Xenopus tropicalis: one gene and its partners. The protein of the gene in region 1 purifies or fractionates together with the protein of each later gene. This does not show direct contact. Links are inferred from orthologs where the notes say so. Each region holds a gene or a part of one and is shown in the gene's direction. Other genes may lie near its edges.

Evidence for each region. Proteins that work in one complex are often made in the same cells at the same time.
Region 2: the proteins of wdr24 (region 1) and depdc5 purify together in Homo sapiens (affinity purification with western blotting; 4 studies listed by BioGRID and IntAct, with this or other methods). This does not show direct contact. The link is inferred for Xenopus tropicalis from reciprocal best matches to the Homo sapiens genes WDR24 and DEPDC5.
Region 3: the proteins of wdr24 (region 1) and castor1 purify together in Homo sapiens (affinity purification with mass spectrometry; 3 studies listed by BioGRID and IntAct, counting the BioPlex papers as one, with this or other methods). This does not show direct contact. The link is inferred for Xenopus tropicalis from reciprocal best matches to the Homo sapiens genes WDR24 and CASTOR1.

What each region holds. Positions count from the first base shown.
Region 1 is NC_030685.2:93,115-97,218, reverse strand, and holds the start of wdr24 (WD repeat-containing protein 24), read left to right. Parts: upstream 1-1,212; 5' UTR 1,213-1,271; intron 1,272-4,091; 5' UTR 4,092-4,104. UniProt on the Homo sapiens protein: Catalytic component of the GATOR2 complex, a multiprotein complex that acts as an activator of the amino acid-sensing branch of the mTORC1 signaling pathway. The GATOR2 complex indirectly activates mTORC1 through the inhibition of the GATOR1 subcomplex.
Region 2 is NC_030677.2:152,202,244-152,205,895, forward strand, and holds part of depdc5 (GATOR complex protein DEPDC5), read left to right. Parts: intron 1-263; coding exon 264-347; intron 348-424; coding exon 425-474; intron 475-3,652. UniProt on the Homo sapiens protein: As a component of the GATOR1 complex functions as an inhibitor of the amino acid-sensing branch of the mTORC1 pathway.
Region 3 is NC_030677.2:144,425,043-144,428,694, forward strand, and holds part of castor1 (GATS-like protein 3), read left to right. Parts: intron 1-339; coding exon 340-463; intron 464-662; coding exon 663-776; intron 777-2,039; coding exon 2,040-2,122; intron 2,123-3,441; coding exon 3,442-3,536; intron 3,537-3,652. UniProt on the Homo sapiens protein: Functions as an intracellular arginine sensor within the amino acid-sensing branch of the TORC1 signaling pathway. As a homodimer or a heterodimer with CASTOR2, binds and inhibits the GATOR subcomplex GATOR2 and thereby mTORC1.

The sequences.
Region 1 (4,104 bases):
TTGACACCCCTGCTCTAGTGCCTGTCTAAACGGGAACCCACCTAAGGGGCCTAAACTTGGGGATCCCTACATTTAAATACCAAGGAATTAAAGGAGACATATAGGATAAAGGGAAACCCCTAACCTTGTAGGCAATTAATATCCGGTGCTGGTTTCCCTTTGGGCTAAACATTAACCCTATCTGTAACAATGGCCCCTTTATTGGAGCTCCCTATAGATCCTCTCAGGTCCCTGTCTGTGTTTCATGAGGGGTGGGCGTGTCCTAACGGTCCCTGTAGGAGGGGGAGAGCCAATCACAGCCCTGCAGTCACACAAGCACAGACAGGCTTCAGTCCCCTATCAGGTCAGCCTAGCTGCTGATTGGTTCCTATCCTACAGTGCCGCCGGCCCCCCTGCACAGCCTGGGAAAGGAGGCAGCAGGAAGTGGCACAGATGGGCGGGGCTAGTGGGGTATTGCGGGAATAAATCAGCGGAAACACAATGTATTATGTAGAGGAGTATAATTCCCTGGTACGTGCCCAATGTTTATATGTCTCCTGTAAGGGCACGGTGGGCAGTCGCACACACTCTGCCCCATTGCGGCCAATGAACACTCAGCGCTAGCGACACATTGCTTGTTATGGTCGGTATGGCACTGTGGCTGTAAGTACGCTTGCCCCGGCCACTCACTGCCAATATTACTCATAGGGATAAAGGGCAACAAACCAAGGCTGGTATTTATGTCCCACAGAATGTATGTAGCCCTAATAACTGGCACATTCACTGTTAACTGACCGGTTACACCTGATAAACTGCCAGATATAAATGATTATATAATCTAGTAAGGGAGTAATAACTGATAATCACCAACCCACCAGGTTTATTAACGTGACTTTATGGGACTGACTCCCTGTATGACCCACCGATAATTCTCCTTGTTCAACCTGTTTAATATAAATGACCCCTAAAGCGACTGGGAGCTGGGGGGACACTCAGCAGCCAACACAACACACCAATCTTTATTCTTTTTATTGTACTATGAGGTACCAGCACAGGAAACAGACACTGAGAGGAGCTACGGCAACTTCCGCCCGTGTAACGTCGGCTAGCCACGCCCACAAGGCGTTACGTACTGCGTCACTGTGTTACGCGCAAAGCCAGTCTCGCGTGATGAGACTTGGAGTTTGTACCTCACGGGGGCGGGGCGACTGTGCTACAGAGTTTGCTGTGGAAGTGTAGGGAAGAACATGTGATATAGAGAGATGTGAGCAGCCAAGCTACGTCCCGGTATGGTAAGGGCTGAGAGGGAAGCAGCCCGGGGTACGTCCCGGTATGGTAAGGGCTGAGAGGGAAGCAGCCGGGGTATAGCTCAGTACTGACAGGGGGAGAGGGGGCTGTAAGCAGCCAATGGCAGGTCTCAGCATGATAGGGTAAGGGATATGTCTGTAAGCAGCCAATGGCAGGTCTCGGTATGATAGGGTAAGGGATATGTCTGTAAGTGGCCAATGGTAGGTCTCGGTATGATAGGGTAAGGGATATGTCTGTAAGCAGCCAATGGCAGGTCTCGGTATGATAGGGTAAGGGATATGTCTGTAAGCGGCCAATGGCAGGTCTCGGTATGATAGGGTAAGGGATATGTCTGTAAGCGGCCAATGGCAGGTCTCGGTATGATAGGGTAAGGGATATGTCTGTAAGCAGCCAATGGCAGGTCTCGGTATGATAGGGTAAGGAATATGTCTGTAAGTGGCCAATGGCAGGTCTCGGTATGATAGGGTAAGGGATATGTCTGTAAGTGGCCAATGGCAGGTCTCGGTATGATAGGGTAAGGGATATGTCTGTAAGTGGCCAATGGCAGGTCTCGGTATGATAGGGTAAGGGATATGTCTGTAAGCAGCCAATGGCAGGTCTCAGCATGATAGGGTAAGGGATATGTCTGTAAGTGGCCAATGGCAGGTCTCGGTATGATAGGGTAAGGGATATGTCTGTAAGCGGCCAATGGCAGGTCTCGGTATGATAGGGTAAGGGATATGTCTGTAAGCGGCCAATGGCAGGTCTCGGTATGATAGGGTAAGGGATATGTCTGTAAGTGGCCAATGGCAGGTCTCGGTATGATAGGGTAAGGGATATGTCTGTAAGCGGCCAATGGCAGGTCTCGGTATGATAGGGTAAGGGATATGTCTGTAAGCGGCCAATGGCAGGTCTCGGTATGATAGGGTAAGGGATATGTCTGTAAGCGGCCAATGGCAGGTCTCGGTATGATAGGGTAAGGGATATGTCTGTAAGTGGCCAATAGTAGGTCTCGGTATGATAGGGTAAGGGATATGTCTGTAAGCGGCCAATGGCAGGTCTCGGTATGATAGGGTAAGGGATATGTCTGTAAGTGGCCAATGGTAGGTCTCGGTATGATAGGGTAAGGGATATGTCTGTAAGTGGCCAATGGTAGGTCTCGGTATGATAGGGTAAGGGATATGTCTGTAAGTGGCCAATGGTAGGTCTCGGTATGATAGGGTAAGGGATATGTCTGTAAGTGGCCAATGGCAGGTCTCGGTATGATAGGGTAAGGGATATGTCTGTAAGCGGCCAATGGCAGGTCTCGGTATGATAGGGTAAGGGATATGTCTGTAAGCGGCCAATGGCAGGTCTCGGTATCATGGGTTCAAGAGGTATCTGTAGGCAACCCATGGCAGGTCTAGGTGCGAAGGTACAGGAGATACGTGTGTAAGCAGTGTATGTGAGGTATGATGGGGCAAGCAACCCCCAGGAGCTCTTAGTATAATAGGGTGAGAGGTATCTTTGTAATCAGGCCATGATAGGTCTTAGCAGGGTTGGTGAGAAATGTATCTGTAAGCAGCCCATGCTAGGTCTCAGTACGATGTTGGTGAGGGATATCTCTGTAAGCAGCCCATGCTAGGTCTCAGTACGATGTTGGTGAGGGACATCTCTGTAAGCAGCCCATGCTAGGTCTCAGTACGATGTTGGTGAGGGATATCTCTGTAAGCAGCCCATGCTAGGTCTCAGTACGATGTTGGTGAGGGATATCTCTGTAAGCAGCCCATGCTAGGTCTCAGTACGATGTTGGTGAGGGATATCTCTGTAAGCAGCCCATGCTAGGTCTCAGTACGATGTTGGTCAGGGATATCTCTGTAAGCAGCCCATGCTAGGTCTCAGTACGATGTTGGTCAGGGATATCTCTGTAAGCAGCCCATGCTAGGTCTCAGTACGATGTTGGTGAGGGATATCTCTGTAAGCAGCCCATGCTAGGTCTCAGTACGATGTTGGTGAGGGATATCTCTGTAAGCAGCCCATGCTAGGTCTCAGTACGATGTTGGTGAGGGATAGCTCTGTAAGCAGCCCATGCTAGGTCTCAGTACGATGTTGGTGAGGGATATCTCTGTAAGCAGCCCATGCTAGGTCTCAGTACGATGTTGGTGAGGGATATCTCTGTAAGCAGCCCATGCTAGGTATAAGTACGATGTTGGTGAGGGATATCTCTGTAAGCAGCCCATGCTAGGTATAAGTACGATGTTGGTGAGGGATATCTCTGTAAGCAGCCCATGCTAGGTCTCAGTACGATGTTGGTGAGGGATATCTCTGTAAGCAGCCCATGCTAGGTCTCAGTATGATGTTGGTGAGGGATATCTCTGTAAGCAGCCCATGCTAGGTATAAGTACGATGTTGGTGAGGGATATCTCTGTAAGCAGCCCATGCTAGGTATAAGTACGATGTTGGTGAGGGATATCTCTGTAAGCAGCCCATGCTAGGTCTCAGTACGATGTTGGTGAGGGATATCTCTGTAAGCAGCCCATGCTAGGTATAAGTATGATGTTGGTGAGGGATATCTCTGTAAAGCATCCCATGCTAGGTCTCAGTACGATGTTGGTGAGGGATATCTCTGTAAGCATCCCATGCTAGGTCTCACTACGATGTTGGTGAGGGATATCTCTGTAAGCAGCCCATGCTAGGTATAAGTACGATGTTGGTGAGGGATATCTCTGTAAGCAGCCCATGCTAGGTCTCAGTACGATGTTGGTGAGGGATATCTCTGTAAGCAGCCCATGCTAGGTTAGGGTTATAGGTTAATAGTATGTAATAATTTATTTCTTGAATTGCAGGATCATCAGAAAT
Region 2 (3,652 bases), on another chromosome or scaffold:
TTATATATAGGCATGAAGGTTGAACTTGATGGATGTGTGTCTTTTTTCAAGCTAACTTACTATGTTACTATGTAAATGAATCATTTCAAACTATATAGAGCAATAATAAGTGCTTGGGAATTCTTTGTAGCATCATCTTTAACCTCAGCAGATTTTGAAATGAGCATCACAAGTGAGACACTGGCTTCACAGTTTGAGAAAAACTGGTTAAAGCATTTTCCTGATACCTAACAAAGTTTAAAAAATTCTTTCTGACTTTCTAGGATGTGACTCTTGATCTTGTGGAGTTAACATTTAAGGACCAGTATATAGGTCGTGGAGATATGTGGAGGCTAAAAAAGAGTTTGGTAGGTTTTGGAAACATTAATAACTTTTGCAAAAGAAATTATTTCTCTATACTAACTTTACTACCTTTGCACCTCAGGTCAGCTCCTGTGCTTACATAACTCAGAAAGTGGAGTTTGCTGGAATTCGGTATGTAAACAGTACTGTAATTTGCCTCAGTAAATTAAAACATGTCATTTTTTTCTAAGCTTGTTCTTAATGGATGTTCCTGCTTCAAATATGAGCTGTTATTTGTTTATATATTTTAAGTAGTTTGACAGAAAGCAAGTTAGTACTGTATTTGATTCCCAGTTTGCTTCACTTATTTTAGCTGCCAGTATTATAAAATCATAGAAGACACAGACTTTTAATTATTTGCTTCCCTTTAGGCGAAGCTCATTGCAAAGGACTCTGTGCCACTGTACATGCAAGCATCTAGTGACCCACCCAGACAGTATTTGTAGAAGCTACTTTAGGTGCTTACTTTTTGTCTGAGGATACAAGTAAGCAATGACCCATTTCAGGTAGTTACTGCATAGTGAATCCAGCACTCCAGATTAAAGTGGAAAAGGTGTTTTTATTTGACTTAATCACCTAACCCAGCAGGACAGTGTATCCTAGGTTTCCTGTTGGTTACTTGGGGTCCTAGAGACTGGTGTATTTTGTTAGTGGAAGCTAAAATTTAAGTAACACCACATTTTGATGAAAATACAAGTTTTGGCAATACAACCTAAAGGGGAACTCCACCCAAACATAATTTAAGCTTAATTTCAAGCAACTTTGTATTATACATTAATTATAAAATATGCAGCCTTTTCATGATTTTAATGTAATAATATGGTTTGAACAGCTACCTAAGCCTATCTCTCTGTTCTCCTGCTGATCTGGCTGACTACTTTGAGACTCAAAAAAAATGCAACAGTAGTTGATTGTCCTCAGCCTGCCTTCAGTCTAATCCTCCAAATCTCTGCACATTTGATGTTAGTAAGAAAAATTGCATTGCAAAGCATTGTGGATTATGAAGTTCCTGCATGGTGTCTGTAAGCTGTGGAGAAGTTGTTACAGTTTGTAACATCACTGTTTTAGTCCCTCCTACCCATGCAGGATTTTAAATGATGCAGAAAGAGAAGAACTATTTTGCAGTTGTATTTTAGCATATAAAAATGGTATTTATTCACACTTTTTGAAGAAACAAATTACAGGGATAGGTCAATTGGGGGTTTCTTTGTTGTGTGGGGCTTTTTTTCAAATTTTGGTTCGGAAGCCAGAGTTCCCTTTTAAACTCATAATCAATTGCCTTAAGTATTTCTATCACTCAGTTTCTAATTAAAAAGTGCTTGGTAATGAATATGATTTTTGTTTAGCCCTCATCTGTGGTGAATGACCCTATTATATGTTGGCATGCTTAATGTTTTTATTTATTTTATAATCTATTATAAGTGACACAATCCTATGGGCAAAATAGTCGCTCTTCTGAGAACTTTTCCAAGATATTGGGGTGAATCAGGATATCTAGGACATGTCTCGACAGAGTTCACATGCTGACATATAATAAAATTGTGTAAATACTTTGAAGTCAAAGGTAAATGTCAGAGCTTTCTTTCTTAACATATGCAGCACAGGATTCTCGCTGGAAGAATTCTTCCAGCCACTCTGGTGTGTTGGATGTGGTACACTGTATAAATATTTTTGCAGCTCAGTAAGGCATATTGGTTATTAAAGGAGAAGGAAAGTCAAAATCTATTAAGCACACTATTGAATAGTACTACTATTGCTATGTAAAAATGCTATAATTCTGGCTTGCCTAATGAAAGATTTACAGAGAATGCCCTGCTACATTCTACATTTTTCAGTGAATGGCGCCGCCATCTTTAACAAAGGAGGCCCCCCCTCCCCCTGCGTCCTTCTGTGTCTCCCCCCCAGCAGCTGCGTCCTTATGTGTAACCACCGCCGGTTTGTGTGCTCCAATTGTCAGCTTGTGTGCTCCTCTTGTCAGCACCCCCCCCCCCCGGTGGCGCTTAGATCCTCGTACAGGCTTCTAACGTTACTTGCAGTGAACAGCGCCACCATCGCTTTGTTTGTTCACTTGATCTACCCGGCACCCTTCTTGCCTCTCCCCCTACCTGCCGCTGTGTCTCATGTTCATTCTGCCGCTGTGTCTCATGTTCATTCTGCCGCTGTGTCTCATACTCATGCTGCTGCTGTGTAAGTGCTGGGGTTGCCATGCCAACCAGACGCTAGGGGGAGCCTCTTGTTTGTGCGCATGCGCCGCCTATAGTCCCGAGTCTCCAAGTCTGGGGAAGAGGGATGCATTATGGGAATCTTCTCTACCCAGCTCAGCGTTTTTTCTAACTGTTTGGCTTCTGATCCTCTGAACGGGAGAAATATGGGGAGACTTAAGGGCACTATTGAGAGAACTGAAGGTATGCCTGCATTTTAATATTAACTCTTTAATAGTATGTTTTTTTACAGATGTCTACATTAAGTGGCCCTACATGGCTACTTTTTGTCAGCATGATCACCTAAACATTCATTGCAGCTTGGGGTTCATTTTCAACACGCCATGCTGTAATCTAGTAATTGCAGTCACTTTCTCCAAACTATAAACCTATTCTGCCTGTGTCTCTTCTTAGCAGGTGGATAGGTCATCAGCAGATGCAGAAGTGAGAGGAGCTGTAGCTCCTATCAGACTTTAAACAATTGTATTTACCTGCACGCAGTTATAGCCCTATACCTTTTTTTGCTATCCATTTGATGTTTACCTTTGAAGCAAATATTTTTGCTATAGAACAGACCTCCTAAGTATTGTCCCACATAGGTACATGAGAGATGTTATTTGCACCTCCTTTCCTTCAATTTGTTATTTTACAACTTCTGGTTGCCGAAGTGTTTTCAGCATGCAGCTGACACCTGGCTAAATGAGGGATATAGGTTTCAGATCACTGCTAATGTGGAGATTCTTATTCTGGAAATGTTAGTGGGTCTATAGTCTTTGGGTAGTTTATATTCCTTGATCAACACCTGTTTTTTTTGTCTCTTATTGCACTTGCTTGGCTTTCGTTTTTCTAACCATTGCTTACACTGTCGTTACTGTTGGATCTCTGGTTAGCATACTTCTATATATTCAGTTTGTTAGGCAGAGCGGCAAAGTGAAAAATGAACATGAGGAGCATGGACTTTTTGCAGGAAAGTCATGGAAGTTTCCCTCTTGCCAACCCTTTCTCCTATTTTATACATTACTGGTCCAAGCCCACTAGTATTTTTCTGTCTTTTGCCCCACCCAAACCACTCCAAAGGGATGTTTGTTGCAAGTGGAACTTAAATTGAT
Region 3 (3,652 bases), on another chromosome or scaffold:
TTAGTAAATCTGCCCCCCATGTGAGTGTGGAGCAGCCGAGAAGGTTAATGCACTGGAGCATAGACATAAGATGTGGTATGCTGAACGTACAGTATCTTATACAGTATGCTTTAAAACTTCCTAATAGCTCTTTAAGAGAATGGGACTGTCCAAGCAAGTTGGATATATTACCGTTGTGTTTCTCGTTACAAGATCTGTTTATGTTAAACTCTCTGTATAATATGCTTAGTGCTTATTGGACAGGACATGTGCTTGTAGTGCTTTAGGTAGATTCAGTTCACTGCAGGTAGGACTGCCTTACTGCTCTCGTTTTACAACCTTGTTTTTCCTATCCCACAGTATTTAATCTGACAGTGCATCCTGTGCAGAGTCCCCAGAACCAGTTCTGTATCCTGACAATGGATCCAGATACCCTTCCTTCTGTTTCTACCATACTATTGGATGTGCTGTTCTACTCCCACCCGTAAGTGTCTGTTCCAGTGTTGAGGGACCCTACCAGAGGTGCTCTTGTTGCTGCCATACCTTAGCCTGATTAGTATATGGAACATTATATATATATATATATATATATATATATATATATATATCATCTTTCATGTGAAGTCTCTGGAATGATCTTTCCAGCAACTGTCTCACTTACATCTTGTTGATTTTCTTTGCAGTTTCCAGAAAGACACTGCTGCAGGATCCCAGGATCTGGGCTTCTTTCACTTTTTTGCCTTCTCCTTGATAGACGGGTATATATCAATAGTCATGGACACGAAGACGCAGGAGAAGTATGTAAAGCTTTGGGTTCCAGGGATCTTTTCATAGGATCCAACAGGAAAATCAAGCCTGCCCAATCCACATCTGGGCAATTTTTGGACATATATTGATCAGGAGGCCCCAGGCAGATAATCTACTGAATCGGACTGAAGGACCTGAATCAGCATCTTAAATATGCCCCTGTATGGCCACCTTTAGACAGTGCTCTTCAACCTGTGACTCTTAGATAATGGTTGTTATTGGGATTCTGGCAGTTGTAGTTCAGCAACAGCTGAGCAGAGTTCTAGGAATTTTATCTTAACAAATTAGCCATCACCATTATATTACAATTTAAAGGGATACTATTGAAACAAAACATTTTAGACCTGAAAACAATGCATAATGTTAATAGATCACGGTTGAAAATATTATATGTTATTGCTTAAAAGTAATGACTATTTTTAATTGAGTAAATCTCAACACACATGCATCAATAGAATCTGTATCCAGGGGAATAGATAGATTCCATAAATGCTAAAAAATACACTACACTACCTAGCCTGAGTAATGGGAGAATATTATTTATGTGCTATAAGCTGGGCATACATGTAAAAATTTGCTTGTTTGTCAAGGTTGCAATTGGGCTGATCCAGTAATTGACCTAGGGATTTTTGAAGCTGGCCAGTTATTAGCCAGGCAGTGAAACCAGCATCCCAGTCATTTAATTCTGCCTGTAGAGCAAACAATAAGGGATATCCATAGTCCAGCAAACTAGCAATTATTGCTCCAGTGAGTGTTTTTGGGCTGAGAGCACCATTACCACTGCTGTCATGGGTTTCTCCTTAACGTAATGGCAAATGGCAGTAGATTTGTACACATTTCTGCCAGAAAAGAATACAGATAGCCCTAATAGAAAAGGAAATGTAGCATATGCTTTTATCGTCTCCATTTTGTCTGTATAAATAAATAAAATAGGCTCACTGACCACTTTGCAGAGGCCGAGCTAGAATAACATCACCTGGGGGGAGCAGACAGGCTCTTCTTCATTAAACTTTGTTGTGTTGCTTTAATTGTTAATAAACCTTAAAGTATCAATAAGTAACATTATTTTGTATAAGTAATAATAAGAGCAGCTTTAATTCAAGTGGGCTGTTTTTCCCAGTAATTCCAGTAATTCACAATTGCACAGTAGTGACTATTATTATCTCCTATGTAAGGGAAACATTGACAGGTTTAGATTATATCTGTGCTGGTGATTTCCCCGAGATCAGACAGTCTGCTTCTTTGTGTTGCAGATTTCCCACTGACTTGCTTTTAACTAGTTCATCTGGGGAACTTTGGAGGATGGTGAGAATTGGTGGACAGCCCCTTGGGTTTGGTGAGTTTATCTGAACTTTCATTTCTCCTGACAGAGTTCTTAATAGAAAAAAAAGAATAACTAAAAATCTTAATACAGTGTCATGCTGCTGATGGCCATTAAACCTATGGCTGGCCATGGCAGTGTCCATGTTGTAACCCACTGACGCATAAACTTGTGAAGAAGACAAGGCCATAAAAAAAGATCCAGTATGTGAGCTCAGCAACTGGATCACATGGAAACTGGCCAAACTTTTCCATGATATTATCAGATTTCATTATGTAGCATGCTGTCTTTTTAACTAAACATGTCTTCTATGTGCGTCGCATTTCGCTCTATGCTTTCTGCCACGAAACCAGGAAATGATTCTCGAATAAAAGCTAGGTGGAGTAATCACAAGACCTATGTAAAATGAGAAGCTGTATACATGTAAATTAGGATAACAAAATCGAGCCAATCAAAACATCTAGAAAGTATTGTTGTTTTTCTTAGTAAACTATAATTCTGTGGTGCTCCAGGCGGTCACCAGCTACATGGGTTAGTCAGAGGTCTATTTACAAGAGGCAATGGCAGAGTTTAGTAATTGTCACATCCTGCAATCCTAATGTGCTCAGTATGCTTTTAAACAATGTATTTGCCTAAGGCTTCTTTTTATGGAAGGTTGGACACTACAGAGACTAGAAAGGCTGCAATAGAATAAATAAGCAGATTTCAATTTAGGTTTGTAGCCCTTAGTGTACAATATGATGCAATCCTATAGCAGTGATGTGATTTCTGTTGCACTGAAATCTCTTTGAGACAATCACTGTGAATTTCACATCTTGTGGCCTCACTCAGGGCTGGTACTGACCTTAAATGAATACTGTCATGGGAAAACGTGTTTTTTTCATCAGTAGAGCTTCTCCAGCAGAATCCTGCATTGAAATCCAATTTTTAAAAGTTCAAGCAGAGCACAGGTCACATGGCTGTAGCACCCTAAAAAATGAAGGACAGGGCTAACCCCATTCAAAATTAAATATTAAAAAAATATGTTTGCCTTTTTGAAAAATGGATTTCAATGCAGGATTTTGCTGGAGAACTATTACTATTAACTGATGTGTTTTGAAAAAAACATGTTTTCCTATGACAGTATTCCTTTAATAAATCCAAAAAACTTTCACCAACTTTTTCATATTGGTGTAGGTGTTACCTGATTTGTACAGAGAAATATGGAGCTCCAAATTTACTTCGAGTGGTGTTGTGAAATGGATTAAGGCTCCAGTTTAACTCGACAAATATTTCTTACTCCATTACTGTTGTGCCCCCCGTAAAACTAATACTTTCCAATCTGATTAATGCAGATGAGTGCGGAATAGTTGCACAAATTGCTGGACCTTTGGCAGCCGCAGACATAAGTGCCTATTACATCAGTTCGTACAACTTTGACCATGCGCTGGTAAGTAAAGCACAGCTGTGTCTGCCTGTCTGGACGCTCATTGCACGTATGGTCGAGGGAGGAGAAAATGCAAGTTAATAAAATGAGGTATAGCGTAATACGGTTTCATTTTTTCC